Linked DNA regions of Lonchura striata. The protein of the gene in region 3 interacts with the protein of the main gene of each other region in a pairwise test. Links are inferred from orthologs where the notes say so. Each region holds a gene or a part of one and is shown on either strand. Other genes may lie near its edges.

Evidence for each region. The genes of interacting proteins can lie anywhere in the genome.
Region 1: the proteins of NDRG4 (region 3) and MAL2 interact in binary tests that used the Homo sapiens proteins (3 or more experiments, as listed by UniProt). The two-hybrid records come from large-scale screens. The link is inferred for Lonchura striata from reciprocal best matches to the Homo sapiens genes NDRG4 and MAL2.
Region 2: the proteins of NDRG4 (region 3) and REEP6 interact in binary tests that used the Homo sapiens proteins (3 or more experiments, as listed by UniProt). The two-hybrid records come from large-scale screens. The link is inferred for Lonchura striata from reciprocal best matches to the Homo sapiens genes NDRG4 and REEP6.

Annotation. Positions count from the first base shown.
Region 1 is NC_134603.1:14,192,704-14,199,583, forward strand, and holds the start of MAL2 (protein MAL2), read right to left. Parts: upstream 3,020-6,880; 5' UTR 2,960-3,019; coding exon 2,825-2,959; intron 760-2,824; coding exon 589-759; intron 1-588. UniProt on the Homo sapiens protein: Member of the machinery of polarized transport. Required for the indirect transcytotic route at the step of the egress of the transcytosing cargo from perinuclear endosomes in order for it to travel to the apical surface via a raft-dependent pathway.
Region 2 is NC_134630.1:6,180,438-6,187,830, reverse strand, and holds the start of REEP6 (receptor expression-enhancing protein 6), read right to left. Parts: upstream 3,020-7,393; 5' UTR 2,945-3,019; coding exon 2,830-2,944; intron 359-2,829; coding exon 265-358; intron 1-264. Other genes in the region: PCSK4 (proprotein convertase subtilisin/kexin type 4), read left to right, coding at 4,028-4,129, 4,210-4,305, 5,222-5,350, 6,207-6,283, 6,375-6,463, 6,856-7,028, 7,103-7,315. UniProt on the Homo sapiens protein: Required for correct function and survival of retinal photoreceptors. Required for retinal development.
Region 3 is NC_134615.1:17,573,799-17,581,215, reverse strand, and holds the start of NDRG4 (protein NDRG4), read right to left. Parts: upstream 3,019-7,417; 5' UTR 2,955-3,018; coding exon 2,918-2,954; intron 1-2,917. UniProt on the Homo sapiens protein: Contributes to the maintenance of intracerebral BDNF levels within the normal range, which is necessary for the preservation of spatial learning and the resistance to neuronal cell death caused by ischemic stress.

The sequences.
Region 1 (6,880 bases), on a different chromosome or scaffold from region 3:
AAGGTCTAACAGCCACTCACCATTGCTGCCCTAGCTTTGAGCAATTGACCCAAAGTCACCAGTAGACTTTCTTAGGAACTGGAGGGGATATTCTGGGTGCTGAAGTCCAGTCTGTGCTACCTCAGACAACCATATCACACAGCATGTTCACAAATTCATCCTTTCCTTTATAATATTTGATATATCTTTCTACATCTCATTATTCATGAGGTGTTACTACCACTTCTCTAATAGTCAGAAAGTATTTTCTGATTCCCAGTGCACAATAATTCCTGGCCATTTAAACCAATTTCTTTCCACACCTTTTAAGTTAGTGCTCTTCCTGCTGCTCATACATTTTATGTGTTCAGAGAGGACAAGTGTACTCCATTAAACAGCTTCAAAAGCTCCTTCAGCCTCCATCATAAAACAGTTTCCTCTGCCACCTCTGTAATCTTGTTCTTTCTTTTTCTGGTTTTGAATTCCTGTTTGAAAAAACTTTGTGCTAAAGCAGAAAGCCAGGTGCCAAGACTTAGGATCGACACGTCTCATTAAATAATTTTCAGTTTATAAAACAAAGGGAATCCTTAAACAAATGAAAAATCTTACCGCCTGGTTCCAGTTGACAGCAATTCTATTTGCATAACCAAAGAGGAACACAGAGAGGAAGACAATGGAGAGGAACCACGCCGTCACTGCCACAAACATTACCCATCCCTGCAGCAGTGCCAGTGGAATTTGGGTAGAGGCGACCAAAATCCAGACTATTGTTCCAAACAGCTGCAAGGAAAGGAATACAGAGAATAAACTGGACAGCTTTTACTCAGTACTTTCTGCCTAAGAACTGATATCACACATTACATATCATCAGATGACTCTTAGAAACCAAGAAGAAACACTTCAAAAGTACTCGGAGAGCCCAAGTCCTCCTCTCAGAAATGATAGGCACTAAGTGGTGAAAATACAAAGCCACTCTGAAATTCCTAAAGGTTCTTAAAATAGGCTTGAAAATGGGATTTACAAACCCAGGTGACTTGTGTCCTGCTGAAAATTTTATCCTTACTGCAATTTTGAATAAAATATAAGAAATGTGAAAACACAGTACACACACACACAAATCTCTCTCTAAATACGCAAATTAGCACAAAAAGGATGTACTTCTACTACTTTGGATTCAATTTCATAATGTTTCGCTTTGAAGTCCTAATCAGATGAGATACAGAAAGGAGATAAAAAGACACCCATTTTTTCAATATATTTGTAATACCAAGCTGAAGGAGGACAGAAAGCATAAAACAAAAGAAAAAAACCTAGAATACAGAATAAGGTGAGTTGTAAACTATGCTGTAAAGACTAGAAAAATATAGAAGTTTCCAGAATCATCATAACTTGGAGAAGAATTCAGCAGTGCCAATTTCATTTCAGCAGACTCCTCACGGCAAATGAGTGGTAGGGACACTGTGCTAGGGATGGTGATGGAGAATTTACACACTCTAAGGCTTCCCTGGCTTAATCAACTTTTGGCCTAAGGAACACAACTATTTCTTCCTGCAAATCCTGCCTCTTAATAAAAAAACATAAATAGATGACAATTATGATTCACTCCAAGTATGTTTGTTTATGACAGAAAGATTTAAATTCATAATCCAAACTGCTGAATAGTGTCAACTAAAATATATTTCCAAGCGCAAGTAACTTCTTTCCTGTTTGAATTCCACAGATTTACAAACCAGGAAGTCAGAGGTTACATTTTCAGATTCAGATAGCTTTCTTTTGTATCACAGTTGGATAAGAGATACCTTTCAAAAGATGCCTGCTACAAAATAAGTTGGTTCCTCTCTGGTGCAGCAGCACATGTGTAAAGATGCATTGCTAGTCTCAGTTCAAAGCTCCCATGGGTTTATGTATTACTGTTCAAGTTGTTCTCTAGGGTTCCTTTTTTATCTGTGAAGAACCAAACTTTCTCTAGTTTCATAAGACTGCAGGTGCAAGTCTGTTACTTGGTGACCAGAGAGTGATGGGCAGTGAGGAAACAAAAGGGATAGCAGAAAGTGTCTGTTAAACAAAAAACAGAGACACATTAAATGCTTTCAGTATTTTCAATGTGCAGACTTGCAGGGTTCCTTAAAAATAAATTTAGAACTGTACTGTAGAGACTGCTAATCTCAGCACCCACTGTTGTGCTACTTCCCTCACGCTACACCTGTCCACAACAGCTTGCCTGTCAGAGTACAATTGGTTGGCCAGCTGAACTAACCTTTTGTCCCTACTGCCTCTGGGCCTGATTTAGTGCCCGGACTTGTGTTTCGAGTTTCAGCTTGCTCCTTACTCAGGTACAATTTTAAAGCTTGTGAGGTGGGACCCAGCTCACAGTCTGGGACCCAAGTAGTATTCTGCTCTGACCGTACGGGAAAGAGTAAATTAATAAAGTCAGAGGGGTTCTACCAAGCTTTTTTGTTTTTCATCACCCATTAATCAGTGGCACCACAGAGCGCCATATCCAAGCTCAGCTCAAAGGTCCTCAGCCCTGCGTACTCCTGCGGGGTCTAACACACACGTGCCATTGAGCACGCTCGTAGGAGTTTGCAGAGGACGCGCAACAGGCGCGCAGACAGAACCTGGTGTAACTCTCCGTGGTGCCTTTTCGGGTCGGGAGCAGAGCGTGGCTCAAAGCCCCGGACAGCTGAGGGAGCCCCGCGAAGCCCATCTGCGTGCGGGCCGCGGCCGAGGGCAGCGAGCCGGGCGGGCGGAGCCCCGGCCCCGCACCTGCCCCTGCCCCGCTCACAAGATGGCAGGCGAGCGGCGCGGCAGGCCCTGGCGCTCCCCACCGCGGCCCTGCACTCACGATCTCCAGGAAGATGACGGCTCCCGAGAAGGTGCGCAGGATCTCCAGGCCGGAGGGCAGCGTGACCCGCGGAGGCGGGAAGTAGGGAGCGGGGTTGGGAGGCGGCGGCATGGACGAGGCTCCCCTGGGCAACATGCTGCTGCGGCGGCGGCGGCCGTGCCGAGCGCGGCCAGGTGGGCGAGGAGGCGGCGGTGAGGGCGGCGCAGGTGCGGGCGGGCCGGCCGCGCCTCCCCCGGCCCGGCCCGGCCCGGCCCGGCCCCGCCCCGCAGCCGCCGCGCCTCGCCCGGAGCGGGGCCGGGCCCGGGGCCGGAGCCGGGCTCGGGCCGTGTCCGGCCACTGCCTCCCGGCTTCACGGCAGCGCGGCGCTCCGCATTCACGAGTCCTGAATCAGGCCAGCCGGACTCGGGCGTGATTTCCCAATGCCGGCTTGCAAAAGGTTTTTATTTACCTTCTGGTTACGGATGTTCGGGCTTCGAAATTGAGTCGTTGCACTGTTTTATTTAAAGGCGCCTACTAGGTTATCCATTCAAAATATTGAAAACATTTCATTTGTATCTTCTTATTGCTCGGTCTGGCTCAACTGTGTACCACTGATTAAAAGTAGTAGAAAATGTTTGTAAAACTTTGGGGTAGAGAAAGGTATACATTCATGAGACTACTTATAATCCATTTATTTTCTTATGCTTCTTTATACAAGCATCTTCTCCAGATGGAGATGCCATCCAGCAGCACTTCACTTATTTCTCCCGTTGTGCCTTAGGCTGAGATGTGCTACCTCTGGAATGACCAAGACTGTTTCACCCAATGTTATCCCATTCAGTGTTCATACTCCACACATACGGCTGCGATTTTAGAGATAACATTTTAAGAAGGTTTCATGCAAGTGTATGTAGCTGCTCTGGAGATTGAACTGACTTGGGTATAAAGACCTTATTCCTTTCTTTTCGATGCATGATGTTTCTCGGGTATGCTTTTGTGATGACAAGAAATGCCACATCCTGAGATGCCTGTCTTCCCCACCCCAATCCAAGCCCTAGGTGGAGAGCAGTTGGCACCATAAAACAGGACTCATCTGTGTTTCTGCCATACCATTCCGTACACAAATAGATTTGTGATGCTTTTAAAATGCATTAATGATTGCTTGGCTTTGAAATCTTGGCATCTAAAGGAGGAAGAAGCAAAAGTTCACATTCTTTCTTGTGCTCTGTCTTCATCTCTATGCCTCTTGTAGCTGGATGCCTCTTGAACTCTTAAGTAGGAGATGCTGGATTGAATCCCCATTAGGCTGAAGAAGGCACAGCCTCCCCTCTTTTCTGAGTGCTTTACCCCATTGCCTATCCAATGATATATTATTTTTTTCCTCTAGACCTATTTGAAAAGTGAACCTTGTGTTCCATCCTTTTATCTTCAGGAAAAGACTTAAGGCTCTGGAAGTGCATGCCTACAGGACCTGTTTTGGCTGTTTTGGAAAGGAATGGGATTGATACTTGTGCATAAGTGATTAGGTGTAGGAGGTTTGTTCTTGGGATTGTTATCTGGAGACCATATGTCAAATAAAAGTCACAGTCTGGCCCTAAATCTGTTAAGACTGCCCTGCAGAGGGAGAAGTCTGAGACAGTGGAAAACAGGGCTGGTTTATGATTCAGAACAAGAAATGTGATTGTCCTTATCTTACACAAAGGAAGTACAAATAATACTTGGTCATAAACATTTCCAGTGTTATTATTTAGCTGCATAGTTAATCTGTGTGAACTCCTAGCAGTACTAGATTTTACTAATGATTACATACCATGTGCTTGTAAATCCTATTTCTTTTTACTTGCACGTTCCTTATAACACTTATTTTATTGAAATTTAGTTGGTTCTAACAAAAAAGTCCAAATTTCACTTTCACAATTAGGTATAGATCTACTGAGTAGATTTTTGGCTGTGCTTTTTCCTGAAGCCTAATTCTCTGCTTTTTCCTAAAGCTTAAATTAAGTGTCTCTTTAAATTATTTTTGCTGTGTTCAGGCAAGATGTGCTGCATGCCCTGTGGGATTGCTTTTATACTGATTCATGTACTGTTTGAATCTTTAAAGAACTGGATTTTTTAAAGAGATTAAGTTTCCATGCAAAAGCACATGTTTGTGTTTAACTGCTTTTTAATAGCATTTTTGTATAACTAATTGCATCTTGGCATGTTAGAAGGTAAAGTAATGATGCAGCTTCCAGTCCACCAAAGTGAATAGGTAGGCAGAAGTATATTGATTCATTGTGAGTAGGAAAGTCTGTCTATACAACCACAAGGAGTAAAAATTGCTCTTAAGCAGCTGTAAAAAGCTCTATTCCCTTCATGTTCTAATGCTATGGCAGTCTAATGTAAAGGAAGCATTGTCACAGAACTACTAAACCAGTTGCTGGTTTAGCAGTGTACATGTGTACATCATACTGGATATGAAAATTACACAGCAGTCACATGCAGCAAGATTCAGACTACCTTTTGTGAGGTATGGCATTGATACTTCTGGAAGAGCTGAATATTAGTAAGGATACTAGATAACAGGTGAAAGTAATGCCAATTTCAGAACTCATGGTCCTTAATGCCTTATCTATGTTATCAGAAGCATTTCAGGAAGAGATGTTATCTCATGTCCTATGTTATGGAGTGCACCAGGGTGGTCTGCCAAAATGGTCAAAGAGATGGAAAATACAAACCAAATAATTGACAGTAACCCTGTTTTCCTGTGGCTCTGTTTATGCACAAACAGATTCCCCAAGCCAGAGTGGAACTAGGCAAGGTTTTCTAGACAGGATCCGCTTCTTTCTTGTTCTGGAGGAAGTTGCCCCTAATAGTTGTCTGTGTTTCTTTTAGATTTGCAAAGCTGCTATTTCTTAATGTGGAATACAAACTCTCCTAAGTTAGTTACATATCAAAAATAGAAAGCCTGGAGTTGATCATGCAACACAGGCTTTTTGTTTATGGATGAAATAATTTAGCATGCTCCTGGAAATTTCATACAGGATTCTGATCTCACACTGGTACAAACTCTGGGGTCATTACCCCTTAGCCAGTGAAATTAAATTGGCATAAAACTGGCTTGCATAAGATGAATGATAAGGAATGCCTTTAGCATCATTTGTTGTAGTGTATTTAGTAAGTGGTAACAGAACTTCAGGATCATGGTTGGATCTATGCATATTATGAATTAGTGTGCAAATACCACCACATTGTTGAGGTTTCTTGTGAGGCAGTGCAACAGTTTTAATTTTTTTAACAAGCAGGGCCAAGTTTGTGAATGCATGTTGCCCCTTCTTGCACCAAGAGGAAAACAACTGTTGAAATTTCTCACTTAATCCAGTTAAACTGAGCTTGGGATGTGTGCTGAGGAGATGAAGATAAATGTGCCACCTGTTTGGTCCACCAGTGCCAGGGATGGCTGGTTACCAAACCAGTCCCTGGAGCAGCTTCAAGCAGTCTCAGAGCTGCTCTCAGCAGCATTTTCTGGCTGGCTCATAATGCTATGGTGGTACTTTGGACATGGCCTCTTCCTGCAGAAGTGTCTTCCGTGCCCAGAGCCATGGGATGAAAGGCATTTTCCTGTCTGCTTTGGCTCTCAGGGTGCCCTTTGAAGCAGGGAATCCTTTGCTGGCTGGTTAGGGGTGTTTGAGGATCCCTTCACACAGGCACCACACAGCTGGAGGCTGGCACAGAGCCAGGGACCCTGCTGGAGTCAGCTGGTGTTAGGGAGGTCAGGCTGAGGTTCCTCACCTGTTCTCATAACATTGTTTCCATGTTCCTAAGCTTACCAGCGGTTCATTTTTGACTTGGTGGCACTGCTGGTCTCTAGCAATACAGTATAGCATGCCAAGGGCCAATTTTCCTTTTATTTACTTTAAGAAATTCCTTTTAGCTGTGTAAGGGTGCAGCAAAAGTAAAAATGCAGAATCTCTTAATAGCAAAGAGGAAGATCCTGACCTGAGATGGTACAGGAGGCAAGGTGGGTAGAGAGGGACATGGCAGAGCAAAGCCAAGTTACCTAATGGGAAAATGTCTCAAGAAGTCAAGTGTTCTGTT
Region 2 (7,393 bases), on a different chromosome or scaffold from region 3:
AAGGAAACAAGGAAGGAAGGAAGGAAGGAAACAAGGAAAGAAACAAGGAAGGAAGGACACGGCTGCTGCAGTCCCGGGCTGGGCTCCACCTTCCCAAACCCCCCAGCCCGGAGGGAACCTGCCCACTGGCTGCTCTGGGCTGGCACGGTCCCAGCCTCTCCAGGAAGGTCTCAAGAGCTTCCCAGCAATAATCGCCTCCTGGCTGAGCAGGGAGAGCTCAGCGAAGGGCAGGGCACGCTCTGCAGGTGCGGCACAGGTACTTACGAGAGGTAGGCGGGGTAGACGAAGCCGATGACATTGCAGAGCAGGGAAGCGCCGTAGCCGAACATGAGGTACAGCCCCAGGAAAGCCAGGGAGCCTGCGGGGCACAGGGGATGCTCGGGAGCCTGCTGCCACCGGGGGAGACCCCGCTCGGTCTCCTGAGCGGGATTCTCATCCCAGAGCAGGCACGGGCGTGTGCCAGGGGGTGAAAGCCACGCCGGGTTAATTCCACGTCGCGGAGGTGCTGGATGGAACGAGGCACGGGGGAGGCTGCTCCTCCCCGAGGGAGCCGCGACCCCCTCCCCTGGCTGGGATGGGGCTGGGATGGGGCTGGGATGGGGCTGGGATGGGGCTGCGATGGGGCTGGGATGGGGCTGGGATGGGATTGGGATGGGGCTGGGATGGGGCTGGGATGGGGCTGCGATGGGGCTGGGATGGGATTGGGATGGGGCTGGGATGGGGCTGGGATGGGGCTGCGATGGGGCTGGGATGGGATTGGGATGGGGCTGGGATGGGGCTGGGATGGGGGTGGGATGGGGCTGGGATGGGATTGGGATGGGATTGGGATGGGACTGGGATGGGGCTGGGATGGGGGTGGGATGGGGCTGGGATGGGGCTGGGATAGGATTGGGATGGGGCTGCGATGGGATTGGGCTGGGATGGGGCTGGGATGGGGCTGGGATGGGGCTGCGATGGGGCTGGGATGGGGCTGGGATGGGATTGGGATGGGATTGGGATGGAGCTGGGATGGGGCTGGGATGGGATTGGGATGGGATTGGGATGGGATTGGGATGGGGCTGGGATGGGGTTGGGATGGGGCTGGGATGGGGCTGGGATGGGGCTGGGATGGGATGGGGCTGTGATGGGATGGGGTTGGGATGGGGCTGGGATGGGGCTGCGATGGGGCTGGGATTGGGCTGGGATGGGGCTGGGATTGGGCTGGGATGGGGCTGGGATGGGGCTGCGATGGGGCTGCGATGGGACTTCACCACCCCAATCTCGCAGCACTTTCACCCCTGGAGCAGAGCCAGGGCGGCAGGAGACGCTGACTACACGCCCATGGTCCAAAGTCAAGGCTCCGCTTGGCTCCGCTCGGTTCCCCGGCGGGGCCCGGAGCCGCTGGGCATTCCCAGAGCTCCGGCTCAAGGACGAGCCCCGCTCCCCGTGGCCGAGCAGCCCGGCAGAGGAAGGCTTGGCCGCCCTGGGAGCGGCAATCCGATCCCGCTGCCCTGCCGCTCAATTAGCTGGCTCAATTAAAATTTGAGCCGTCGGCGGCTGGAGCCTGCCCAGCGCCCCGGACGCTCGCAGGAGGCTGCAGAGGAGCTGGGGAAAAGCGTGGCTGGGGAAGGTGGGACACGGAGCTTTTGGGCAGGAAAACCTCTGGGATACTCGGGATGGAGCATTTTGTGTGTCCCACCGGAACAAAGTCCTCCAGCAGCAGGAAAAAGCTGGGAATTAACCTGACTGTGCTGGTGAATTAAAGTCCTTGCTGGGGTGTTGAGGGAGGATTATCCCAGCTCTGCTCCCTGCAGCATTCCTGGCCTGAGCTCCGGGGCACCCACAGCTCCGGGTCTTTCCTGGGACACTGGGCAGGAGCAACGTGGCTTTGGAGCAATCCCAAACCTCCCTCCAAGGAGGGCAGGCAGGTCCAGGCAGTGCTGGGTTTCACTCCCCAAGAGCCTTAGAAGGGATTTCGCAGGATTTAAACTCCCAGAGAAATTTATGTAACAGCAAAAACCCAGGGAAGGTTTTGCTGAGGCAGCCGGAGGTGGTGCTGCCCAGAGGTTGCTCCAAACCCCAGCCCAAAGTCTCAAACACAAATTAGGGAGCTACGAGAGGGAGAAATCGGGAATTTTTAGTTCAGCAACAGCTTCTCCTTTCCAGGACAGGGACCCAGAATGCAGAACCATCCCTTTTTGGTGGGGCCACTCTTGTTCTACCCCCAAAGTCCATCACGGCTGAGCCTGAGCAAATCCCCAGGATTGTTTTGCTTGGAAAATGCCTGAGTGGCACCAAATCTCAAACTGGAGCACGTGGACGAGGCCAGTTCAAGCTGGCACAGAGGGCACAGGGCCGAGGGTCAGAGGAGAGGGGGCACGGCGTGCCAGGAGGAGGATCCCCGGGGAGAACCCGGCTGGTTCCTCATTAATGAACAACAGGGATCCGGTTAAAGGCCGGATCCGCACGGTCCCACCGGTGGGACACGGGGACGAGCTGCCATCCCCAGTGCCCCATCTGACCCACCACGATCTGGGGGCTCACCCAGAATGGGGACCCCCCCCGTCAGGCCAGGGGTCTCGAGGGTCTCTCTGACACCCGGACCCTGCACGCTTTAGGATTCCGGGATTCGGTGCCGGCGGAAGGCGAGGGCAGCGCGGTGACAGCGATGTCACCCCCGGTACCCCCACCCCCTCCGCACCCCCAAACCAGCGCGGTCCTGCCTGCCCTCCCCGTGCCCCCGTGCTGAGCCCAGAGCCACGGTGAGCAGCTGCCAAGGCGCCCCACGATACGGGGGAGAAGGGGACAGAACCGGGGAGAACCGGGGAGGCCCCGCGGTACCGGTCGCACCTGTGGCCAGGTAAAGCCGTTGGACGCCGGTACGGGCTTCCAGCCGAGCCAGCAGGTCGCCGATGGGGCCGGGGCTGTAGAGGAAGCGCTCCAGGCGCTGCTGCACGGAGCCCATGGCGGCGGCGGCGCTGAAGCGGCGGCGGCCCCGGAGCGGCCCCGGTGCGACCCCGGCCCGGCGAGCGCTCCGCTGGGGGCGTGGCCAGCGCCAGGGGGCGGGGCTCAGCGGAGGGCGTGGCCAATGGGAGGGCGGGGCGGGGAGCAGCGGGCCAATGAGGCGCGGCCGTGCGGGGGGCGTGGCCGACGCCGTTGCCATGGCAGCGCGGCCTCATGGCGGCGCGGCCCGGCCCGGCCCGGCGCTGCTCCCGGTTCTTGTCCCGGTTCTTGTCCCGGTGCTGCTCCCGGTGCTGCTCCCGGTGGCCGCCGCCGCCCCTCCGGGCCCCGCCAAGCCCCGAGTGTATCTCAGCAGCTGGGCCGTGCGGGTGGCGCCGGGGCTGAGGGACGCCCGGGCTCTGGCCCGCCGGCACGGGTTGCTCTACCGGGGCCAGGTGCGGCCTGGGCGGGGAAGGCGGGCCCAGCCCACCCCGTGTGCCCTTGGCCCGGTGCTGCCTCTGTTCGTCCCCTCCGCTTGTCCCGTGGGCAGGGATGTCTTCCATTAGGCCTGGTCACTCCAAGCCCCATCCAACACTTGCTCAACACTTCCCCTCCAAGGCTCCCTGGGAATCTGGGAATTCCGTGCCAGGGTCCCCCCAGCCTCAGAGCAAACGGCCCCTGAGCGTGCAGGGGTGAGCGAGGGACCCCCGAGGCACCCAGCCCCTCCCCAGGACTCCACGCTGTTCCCAAGGGACACTTTTGGCCCGTCCTGCTGGCATTCAATCCACCCTGGGGACACTCTGCCCGTCCTGCTGGTGTTCAATCCACCCTGGGGACACTTTTGGCCCGTCCTGCTGGTGTTCAATCCACCCTGGGGACACTTTCGGCCTGTCCTGCTGGTGTTCAATCCACCCTGGGGACACTTTTGGCCCGTCCTGCTGGTGTTCAATCCACCCTGGGGACACTTTCTGCCCGTCCTACTGGTGTTCAATCCACCCTGGGGACACTTTCTGCCCGTCCTGCTGGCGTTCAATCCACCCTGGGGACACTCTGCCCATCCTGCTGGTGTTCAATCCACCCTCCGAGCAGCTCTTTGTGCCCGCAGGTGATGGAGGGAGAGCCCTTCCACCACTTCAGCCACCGCGGCAGCCGGCAGAGAGCCCTGAGCCGGCACTGGGGGTGGCACATGCGGCTCGCCAGGGACCCCCAGGTAGGGAGGAAGGCCCGGGGTGCCAGGGGACAGCTGTGGGCAGGCACGGCCGGGCGCTCACAGCGCTGCTCCCCGCCCAGGTCCTGTGGTTCGAGCAGCAGACGCTGAAGAGACGCTCCAAGAGAGGCGCGGGCGTGGTGCCCACCGACCCCTGGTTCCCCAAGCAGTGGTACATGGTGAGAGCCGGCTGCTTCCCCTCCTCATCCCCACCCCAGTCGCGGGATGGAGGGGAGCAGCGGCACATCCAGAGCCCCCTCCCTGCTCAGCACCATCCCAGAGGCACAGGATTGGGTCTGGATTGCTCTGGGATATCCCCAGGGAGGGAAACCCCACAGCCCCTCTGGCCTCTGTTCAGGGCTCAGGTGCTGCACACTGAAGGAATTCTTCCTCCTGTGCAGGGGAATTCCTGGGATCACTCCCTGCCCCTTCCTCTGGTGCCATTTCTGGTCCCCAGGGCGAGTCTGGCCCTGCCCTGAGCCCTCCCAGGGCAGCAGCCAGGGACACCCGGGGCTGAGGGCCCCTCTCAAGGCTGAACAGCCCCAGCTCCCTCAGCTTTTCTTTGTCAGGGTGTTCCAATCCCTTCCTCAGCCTTGTGACCCTGCACTGGACCCCTCTGGGAGCTGCACGTCCCGAGGAGCCCAGAGCTGGGCACAGCACCCCAGAACTGGGCACAGCACCCCAGAACTGGGCACAGCGCCCTAAATTGGGCACAGCACCCCGGAACTGGGCACAGCACCCCAGACTGGGCACAGCACCCCAGAACTGGGAACAGCACCCCAGAGCTGGGAACAGCACCCTAAATTGAGCACAGCACCCCAGACTGGGCACAGTGCCCCAGAACTGGTCGCAGCACCCTAAATTTGGCACAGCACCCTAGACGGGGCACAGCACCCAGAGCTGGGCACAGCACCCCAGACTGGGAACAGCACCCAGAAATGCCCCCAGGGCCGGGCAGAGGGGCAGGGTCCCTCCGTGCCCGCTGGCCGTGCCCTTCCCAGCGCCCCACCCGGACATGATCCCGGCTAATGCCGGCAGTGCTGAGGCAGCAGCACTCCCGCAGGTGACCCCGATCGGAGTTAATCTGTTTTCCAGAACAACGACGTCCATCCCGACCTGAACATCCTCACGGCGTGGAGCAGAGGCTACACGGGGCTGGGCGTGGTGCTGACTGTCCTGGACGATGGGCTGGAGAAGGATCACCCCGACCTGGCCGCCAACTACGTAATTATGGGGGGGTCCAGGAGCTGCTCCTCCAGGGAGGGTGGGGTCGATGCTGTCAGCCCACCTCCAGCATTCCCGGTGGGAATTTGGCCCCTCCGGGGCTGGATCCAGGGTTTGGAGCCTCCCATGGTACAATTTCACACTGGGTTTGAAATGTTCTGACGTGCCCACGCAGAGGAGCCCCCAGAGGTGTGATTGCAGCAAGCTGCAAAGGCAGCGTGGTGGGCAAACCCTCCCAAGAAGGAAAAGCAGCCCTGGTGGTGTGGAACTGTGCCGTGGCTCCTCTCCCGGGGCTGTGTGGCCAGCGAGGGTCACCCTCAGCAAAGCTGTGCTGCTTCCAGCCCCTCCTGCACCACCCCAGAGCCACCGAGGCTGGAAAAGGGCTTCAGAATCATCGAGTCCAACCTGTGCCCACCTTCTCACCAGCCCAGAGCACCCAGTGCCACCTCCAGGCACTCCAAACCTCCCGGGGCAGCCCCTGCCAAGGCCTGCCCACCTTTCCCATGGGGAAATTCCTGCTGATGTCCCACCAGGCACAGCCTGAGGCTGTTCCCTCCTGTGCCGTTGTCCCCTGGGCCTGACCCCCATGACTGTCCCCTCCTGCCAGGGACTGGTACAGAACCAGAAGCTTCCCCCTGCTCCTCCTTTTCCCCGGGCTGAGCCCCTTCCCCAGCTCCCTTCCCTCTCGGGTCTCGGTTTAGCTCCCAGCACAGCTGGGCACGAAGGGGCCCCGCTGTCCCCTGGGCTGGCAGGCGGGTCCCTCGGCGGTGCCAGCGCCGGGCTGGGTGCCAGGAGCCTGTGCCAAGCTGCCACAGCCCTGCCCGGGCCCTCACGCCGCTGCCTCGCCGTGTAACAGGACCCGCTGGCCAGTTACGACTTCAACAGCAACGACCCCGACCCCCAGCCCCGGTACAGCGACAGCGACAAGAACTGGTGGGTTCTGCCCAGCTCCCCACACTGGGGGGGTCAGCCCTGGGGCTGTCCCAGGCCCCCCACCCCTCTCAGGGTCACTCTGTCCCCCCAGGCACGGGACACGCTGCGCGGGGGAAGTGGCAGCCGTGGCCAACAATGGAATCTGCGGTGCTGGCGTCGCCTACAATGCCAAAATTGGAGGTAAGATGTTGCTCCTCTGTGAGAGAAGCTGGAAATCATCTCCAGCCCCCTGTGAGGATGCAGGAGCCCAGGTGGGGCTGCTCTGGGCTTTACAAGGGTGGCTGCTGCCCCACATCAGGCTCGGTGCTGCCAAGGCTTTGATGCTCAGCCCAAGACCAGCAGGGCAGGCTCAGGCTCCTCTGTGGAAGTGAAGGTGGCAAAGGGGGGGTTAAACACCAGGAGCACTCCCTGTGCTTAATGAAAAAAGGCTTAATGAGGAGCTTTGGGAAGGGCACAGACACGAGGGGGCCTGATCTCCTTAGGGCAGGGGCACTGAAAGCTCCAGGCCCTGCCCTTGGTGTGGCTCGTGCGTGGCTCCCGTCCCCTCCACGGCTGCCCGGTGCCTCCCTCAGGCGTGCGGATGCTGGACGGCTCCATCACGGACATGGTGGAGGCCCAGGCCCTGGGCCTGCAGCCCCAGTACATCCACATCTACAGCGCCAGCTGGGGCCCCGAGGACGATGGCAGGACGGTGGACGGGCCCGGAGTCCTGGCTGCGGCCGCTTTCCACAGAGGGGTCGTCCAGGTAAGCCCAGCCCTGGCCTTGAGGGCCACAGGGACACGAGGACAACCTGCTGACCCCCCTCTGCTCTTCAACAGGGACGGGGTGGGCTCGGCTCCATCTTCATCTGGGCCTCGGGCAACGGCGGCACCAACTACGACAACTGCAACTGCGACGGGTACACCAACAGCATCTACACGGTGTCGGTGGGCAGCGTCCTGGCGGACGGGCAGCGGCCCCGCTACAGCGAGAGCTGCCCCGCCATCCTCACCACCACCTACAGCAGCAGGGCCACCAGCGAGGTGCAGATCGTGAGTGTCACAACAGCTCTGCCACAGCAGCAGCTCCGCGCCGGCCGCCGAGCCCAGCACCGGGCTGGTCCCAGCCCG
Region 3 (7,417 bases):
GAGATGAGCAGCTGGCTGCACACAGAAGGTGAAAGACATGGGGACACAGGGAACAGTCCAGGCTCCCCTGTGTTTGAATGGAATGGGTATCTGGCAAATGCCAGTGCCAGGGGATAATCTACACTCAAGCAGGATCCAGACCTCAGGCATTGCCTTTGCAGCCTGTTTTCACCCTTTCCACAAGACAGACAAGCTGTTGCCTCTCCAAATGAGCCAGCACTGATCCCACATCCTCCCAGCTGTCTCCCCCCCCCGTGCAATCTCCCTGGACATAACGGGGATGCTCTGGGCTGTACGGGCACCGCAGCAGACACGGAACCACTCCATCCTCACGGCCTCAGCCGAGCCTGCTTCACACTTTGTCCACCTCCAAACCTAGATCACTCCAGGCTGACAATGTGGGAAGGCCAAGAAATGCCACAAATATTGCAAAACCACCAGGATACAGAAGTTGGTCATAAACTTCCCTCCAAAGTCGGGTTTTGCTCCTCCGACTGGGTTTTCCATTCAAAACTCAAGCAGGCTGTGCCACCTGCCTGCTTCCTGCAGACACAGCACTTTGCCTTGCTCCCTGGGAGCCATCCAAAGATCCAGAACTGTTTGGAGGGAGAAACACCACTCCAAAGCCTCTCGAGATTCCCGGGGCACCCAGCACCAGGAGTCTCCATGCCACCCCTGCCCAGAGAGTCCCACGAGATCAGGGGATGTGGAGAGGTGCCATGAGCCCCATGGAGAGGCACAAATGAGGGGCACACTGCTCCAGGCTGGGCTGTGCTGCTGGGGAGATGGCTCTGTGCACAGGGACAGCCCTGGCCTGCAGCCCACCAGCACAGCCGAGCCAACACAGCCTGCAGAGCCACCAACTGAGCAACCCCACAACCCCAGGGGAAAAACCAGGAGAAAAATCAGCCTCACCAATAGCTGGGTCTGGAGGAGAGCAGGAGTGTCCCACGCTGAGCACACCAACCCACCGTGTGGCCACAGCCCCAGCGTGGCTGGGAACAGCACTTAGTGTATGGTGAATGCCTTTATTAATTACAGCCTGCAGCTAATATGGGAGGGAGGGAGGGTGGCTGAGCCATGAGGAAAGGCCCCGTGACCTTGTTTGCATGGTGGGGGCAATGCTGGCTCAGGAGGAACGTAGCAGAGCTCTGCCCCAACCAGCTTCCCCTGCACAGCTTCCTAAAGTGGTGCTGAGTGTGGGAATAGAGGAGGGATCAGCGAGTCAGGGATCAGTAAGCAGGGTCACAGCCATGCAGCCACCCATCCTGGGTGCTCTGCATCCCATGCCACCCACAGGAACCCTCGTCCCTCCTCAGCACTGTAGCTGTGGGGCTGTGGGCAGTCTCACCCAGCCCCACTGGGCCACTGTCACTGTTGAGGGCTGGTGAGGAAGCCACAGCTCCAGGTCTCCTAGCCAAAACAACTTGGCTCCCATCTTCTGCCAGGGTAATGTGCCCAGCAACGAGTCCTTTTCCTTGCAGCTCACCCCAGTGCTCCCCAACAAGCACCCATTCCCAGGGCATCACCCCAAACACACCCATCTCTGCTCCCACTCTGCCTTCCCAGTGTGGTGCCACAGTTTCCTTGGCACAGCCAGGACATGTCTCTTCCCTAATTCCCAATCAGTTCCAAACCCAGCAGGACATAAGTGCTCTGTCTGGGACTAGTGTTCTCTCCCACCAGGGCCCTGGCACTGTGTATATAGATGGGACAGGAACAGCCACATTGGCTTACCTTCCCCAGGGATCTGCAGCCCACTGCTGGCTAACTGCAGGAGAACCAGCTTGTAGCATTATTATTATTATTATTATTATTATTATTATTATTACTACTACTACTAAATTATCACAACAAAGTTGTGAGCTCCATTACACACTTGGGAGCATGTGTGGTCACAGGGCCGGGATCCCTCAGATGTTGTCTCACTCTCACAAGAGTCCCCACACTGACTACCTGCCTGCTGCCCTGGCACGGATGTGTTGCCCACAGGATGTTGGCACGGATACCTCGGGCTGACTGAGCAGCGTGCAACAAACAGGCAGACAAATCAGGAGAAGTGAGGGCTGGTTCCTGCCAGCCAGTGAAGCCAAGGCAGCCTTCAGTGAGGCTGGGAGAGGGAGGAAGGGAACTTGCAGCTCAGTCTGAGCCACGGCCGTGTGCCCACTGCATTGCCCCCGGAGCAGGAGCGATGGGGGAGCACCATGGGGTGAAGGAAAACCCCGGTGTGACACAGTCTGGGCCACATCCTCCTCCACCAGTGCAGGAGGAACAGCCTCAGCTTTCTCTGAACCCGTGAGGGACACAGGTCTGTACCCCAGCAGCCCCCACAAAGCAGCCGAACAGTGTGGTCCGGCTGAGGGGCGCAGACCGGGCAGCCCCGCCACGGAGCCCCGTGGGGGACGCGGCGCCACTGACGCGTGGGCTGAGCCGCGCAGGGTCTGGGGGCGGCGGTGGCAGCAGGGGGCTGTGTGGGGGCTCAGGCTGTCCACGGTGGCTGTTGCTAAGAGCGGCCTCCTTCCCAGCCCAGCGCGTTCGTCGGGGCAGCGGGGAGACTCCCAGGGGAGGCTGGCTGAGGAGCGGGGAGGCACCGCAGGGATGCTCCAGCAATCCCCCCTGGCACCCCCACCCCCGGCTGTCTGCCGGCCGGCCCTCTTTGCCAGGAGCTGCCGGCTCCGTTCCCCCTTCCCAGCACACCCGGGCTGGGCTTTCCCCGCTGCAGCAAGGCATCAGCTCCCGGACTCCGACAAGGACCCGACCCCGGCACCCGCACCTGCGGGAGCAAAGGCGGGCGGGCGGTGCGGGCAGCTCCATCTCCTCGGCAGGGGCTGAGGGGCCGAAGGCTCTCGCCACCCCCGGTCCCATCGCCCCTCCTCGGTTCACAGCCCCCGTTCCGGCACGGGCGGCCGGGCCGTACCTGTCAGGAGCTCGATCTTGTGCCGGAGCACCTTCATGCCGGGCGGCGAGTCCCGGCGGGCGGGGCGGGCTGAGGCGGCGGCGGCCCCGGCGCGGGGCGAGCGGAGCCGGAGCCGGAGCCGGTGCCGGTGCCGGTGCCGGTGCCGGAGCGAGGTGCGCGGGGCGGCGCAGGGGCTGGGCTGGGCACGGCCCCGCCGGCCGGATCCTCCTCCCCTCGCCGGGGCCGGAGGGGAGGGACGGGGCCGGGATCGGGAACGGGGGCACCCGGAGAACAGCGGTGCTGAGGGAGGCGGGAGCGGACGGGAGATGGAGGCTGCGGGGGTTACGCGGAGCGCTGGGGGCTGCGGGGGGTTGCACGGGGGATGGAGGCTGCCGAGGACACACATCACTCTGCAGGGAACCATTTCGGTCCCAGAGTGGGACCGTGATGACCAACAGGTCCAACAGGTCCCTGTGGTCGTGGAGTCCCAGAAGCAGAGGACAGCGGCAGCCCCAGGTATGGACCATGCACGAGGGGTCTGGGTCTCCCTGAGAGCAGGGGAAGGCGATAATCAAGGTGCTCAGGGAGGATCTGGGACAAGAGGAGACCTGTGCACAACAATGATACCTGGAACACAGCCACTGGTGGCCAAGGGATGTAGGGAGACCTGGAAAGTGGGGCCACGAAGGACAAAGGGCTTGGGAGTATCCAGGAAAGAAAACACAGATTACAAGGGACCTAAGGGTCCTCTGGGGCATGGGAATGTAGGTTGCCCTGAACATAGGATGGTCCCAATCAAGGTTGCCAGGTGGTTTCAGGATAAGAAGGGCCTGTCCAATGAAGGTCCCCACAGCAGGACCACAATGGTCTGTGAGGGAATGGAGATTGTGACAGTCAAGAAGGATCACCCAGGAGTGGAGGCTGTGACTGGGGTCATGATGAACCCACGAACACTGATGCTGGAGGTGTAGGGTGGCAGCTGTGTTTGGGGCAGAGCAGGAGGTTGTAAATCACTTGAATTCTCCTGAATTGGGACAATTGGGACATTGAGGACAGAGGGCCTTGGCTTGCCCCAGAGCAAGGGCTGAATCCTGCTTGTCTCCACACCTGACAAGGTCATGCTGGCAGTGTTCCTTCCTCTGTACTTGTCTGATATCACTTTAACTGATTTTTTTTCTCACAGCTAGGGATGTAACAGCCTCCACTCCCATGCTGCCTGAGGCAACTGCACAGGACATACCATCCAAAACTGGCTCTTATCAAACCATGGGGAGCTCCTGAGGACCCCATCACCTCCTCTCAACAGGCTTGGTTCCTCAGCACTGGGCTGAATCAGGTATCTCAGAGCTCAGCCTCATTGCCCCTCAGCCAGCCACAGTGGCCAACAGACCCCTCTGCTTCAGGGCGCCTTTGCCTGCTGGGCCATGGGGTGCCTTGAGAGAAGCCACAGGCAGTCATCCTACAAATAGCTGCTGAGGGGCTGGAGAAATGTCTGCTCATACTGACATTCATCCCTGGTACATCAATTTTAACAGCTTGTCCCAGGCTTTTTGGATGGCAACCAGATTTCAGCTGATTTCAGCCTCTCCCGCTGAGTCACCACGAGTTCTGCATCCAGGCTGCATTCGCCTTCTCACCTCAAAGAGCGAAAAGCCCATGATGTCAGGGAGCTCAGGGACTCTTAAATCCCTCAAGTAGGAGCCAGTCCCTCACCTAGCACTTCAATGGGATCAAATCTTCCCTGCCTTCAGCGCTGCTTTTCCCCCTCTTCTGTGGGTCCAGCAGCCAAGAGGTTTTCTCTGAACTTGGTCAGGGACGAGACAGTGTTGGTTCTGATCTTCCTAATATTGCACACATTTAAACCTCCTCCTCCTCTCCCTTCAGTTGCCAGGGGTTTCTATGGGAATAAATTCTTTTTCATGCTTGGGATTTATCTTCTCCTCAGCAGTCACACCTTCAAGCAGAGAGAGAGTGGGCCAGAACTGCTGAACCCACAGATGCCATTGGTGGCAAGAGGGAGATGGCAGGACCAGAGGTCCTGGGACCTTTCATTTTCCTTCCCTCTGGAAGAAACCTGGAAAGATTTCATTAAAAAGGCAGAGACCATAAAACTCCAATAAAAATGCTCCAGCATGACCCCACAAAACGTTCCTGTTGTGATGGTGCAATCTCAGCCTGGCAGAGGTGAGCTGGGACCCCTAAACCTGTTGCAGGTAGCTCTGAACCCCTTGGCCACCCTTCCCACAGTGGCACCCAACACTGGCAGTGGACCCCTCCTGTGGTGGGCAGCTGGTGGTGGACAGAGCACACAGCTGCCATCAGCAGAGAGAGATGTAGAGGTGACCAGCAGGGAAGCAGAGCCCTGAATCCAAGCCCTGAGGCAGGGCAGGGTTTGACACACGTCCACAGCTCCAGGCTGCATCCTGTGCTGCACACACAGGGCTGATTTGGGAGCAGGAGGAGAAGCAGCCTGGGGCTGATGTGCTGGCTGCCCAGGCTGGCTGTGCAGGGGAGCAGCAGGATCAATGTGCCTGTATCGAAGGGCTTCATGGGGATTAGATACCACCCTGAGGCACAGGCAGTCCAGTGACGATGTGCAGAGGAGTCACAGCTAAATTTAGCCTCATTTGTGCGTGAGTGTGATGTTTTTATTCTTGCCCTTAAATATAAACATTGTTTGAAGCCAGTGGCTGCTGGTTCTGCTTTGCTAGCTCTGGATCTTGGATGGATTGTTTCAGTCAAGCTATTCAAAAGAGGGAGAAATGCGAATAAGCAGTTGGTGAGACATATCCCAAAGACCTATTTTCAAAAATGCTCAGGAACCATTTCCCAGAATCCAGCAGTGCACACAAAGCAGTGAGTGTGACGTTGGTGGCTGTGGGGATGTGCTGGTGCTGAGGGAGAGGTGTCTCCCAGGTAAAGCTGCTCCATGGGCATGGGATCACATGCTGGAGCTTTGACCATAATGAGGGTTATCTTGGGTGTGAGGCAGCAGCACTGGAGTGGCAGCAGCTGTTGGTGATGGGTCCCATCCTGCATCCCACCTTGGCTGGACATCCCACCCCTAGGGCAGGCACAATCTGCCCCAGCCTTACATCCCCAGGGCAGCAAAAGGTCCACACCTTGCTGGCTCCAAAATAATCCAAACCAGAATGGCAGCAGGGCAATTAAATCTTGGGTGCCCCAAAAGAGACACCTCAAACCTTGCCCAGAGGTCCCAGATTGGTGCCAGGAGGGGTTGGTGTCCCCAGAAGTGCTGGGCTTCATGCAGAACAAGGCAAGGCTGCACTGTGGCACTGCCTGTGCGTGAGCTCAGGGCTGTGGGCAGAGACAGAGACAGGGACAGGCAGGAGCCAGCCCTGCTGCTCCACATCCTGACACCACACATTCCACTGAAGCTGCCTGGGAAGGTAAAATCCTGCAGGGAGCTCTGTATCCTCTCCATGCAACACAGCCCCTGAGGCCAGGACGGGAGCAGAGGCTCTGTGACCCAGCCCAGGGCAGAGCTGTGCTGTGCCCTGTGTGCCCCACAAAGCATGTGCTGGGGCTGGCGAGCTGCCCGTCCCCCCCGGCTGCCTCCTGCCCTCCAAACACAGGGCTACCAGTAATTTTCCATCCTGGCTGTGAGCTCTGCCCTAACGAGATGTTCTCCTCTGTCCCTCTAGCAGGGCTGGGCCCCATTCAAGTTTCTCTGTTCATTCAGACCCTGAGTCCACCCCCTCCGTTTTGCTGCTCAAGCTGCCCGCCAGTTCTGCAGGGTGGCTGCTCCTCCAAGCCCCGTTCCTCACAGTGCTCACAGCCCCTCTGCCTCAGGGCAATGGGAAGATTTTGTCCAAAAGCCAGGGGGGAAAAAAAATTTAAAAAAAAGATCAGCAACCAGCCAAGAAAAATTCCCATGGCTCAGCTGCACTGGGGCCAGGAACAAGGCAGCCCTGGGGACTTTGCCCTCAGCCATTTCCAAAGCTGCCTCTGCACAGGCACCTCTGCCTGGAATTGAAGGTCTGGTCCATCAGCTGCACTGGTTGGTCAAGCACATCAGAGTAAAGCTGATTTCCAGAGGAAGGTACCTGGCCCTGGAGCACTGTGCCTGCAGCAGTGCACTCCCCTCAGCTCCTCCTTGCAATGAAGCTGCTCAACTCTGACCTCAGTTTAGGCATTCACTTTGTGGGCCTGGAGAGCCACCCAGTGCCAGGAGACACTTTCCAGAGGGAGGATTCTGTGCCCATCTCTCCAGAGCAGGCCCCTTCATCCCTTCCTGCCTCCCCCCAGCCACAGGAGCCAGCAGCACTGCTCAGGCCCACTTTGCTGCTTCTGCCATAGCCTCTTTTCGGAATCAAGCCAAGTTTTAAATAAATACCTGTCAGCAGAGCCAAGCCGGGTGCTCAGAATGATGGCATGTGTGTTTAGCAGGTTGATAGGCGTGAGACAGAGCACAGACAGCAGGGGCTCTCTCCTCAGAGGCCAGAAACTGGCACATTCTCAAAGGCAGCATTAATCAGCATTTTCAACTGCACAGCACCT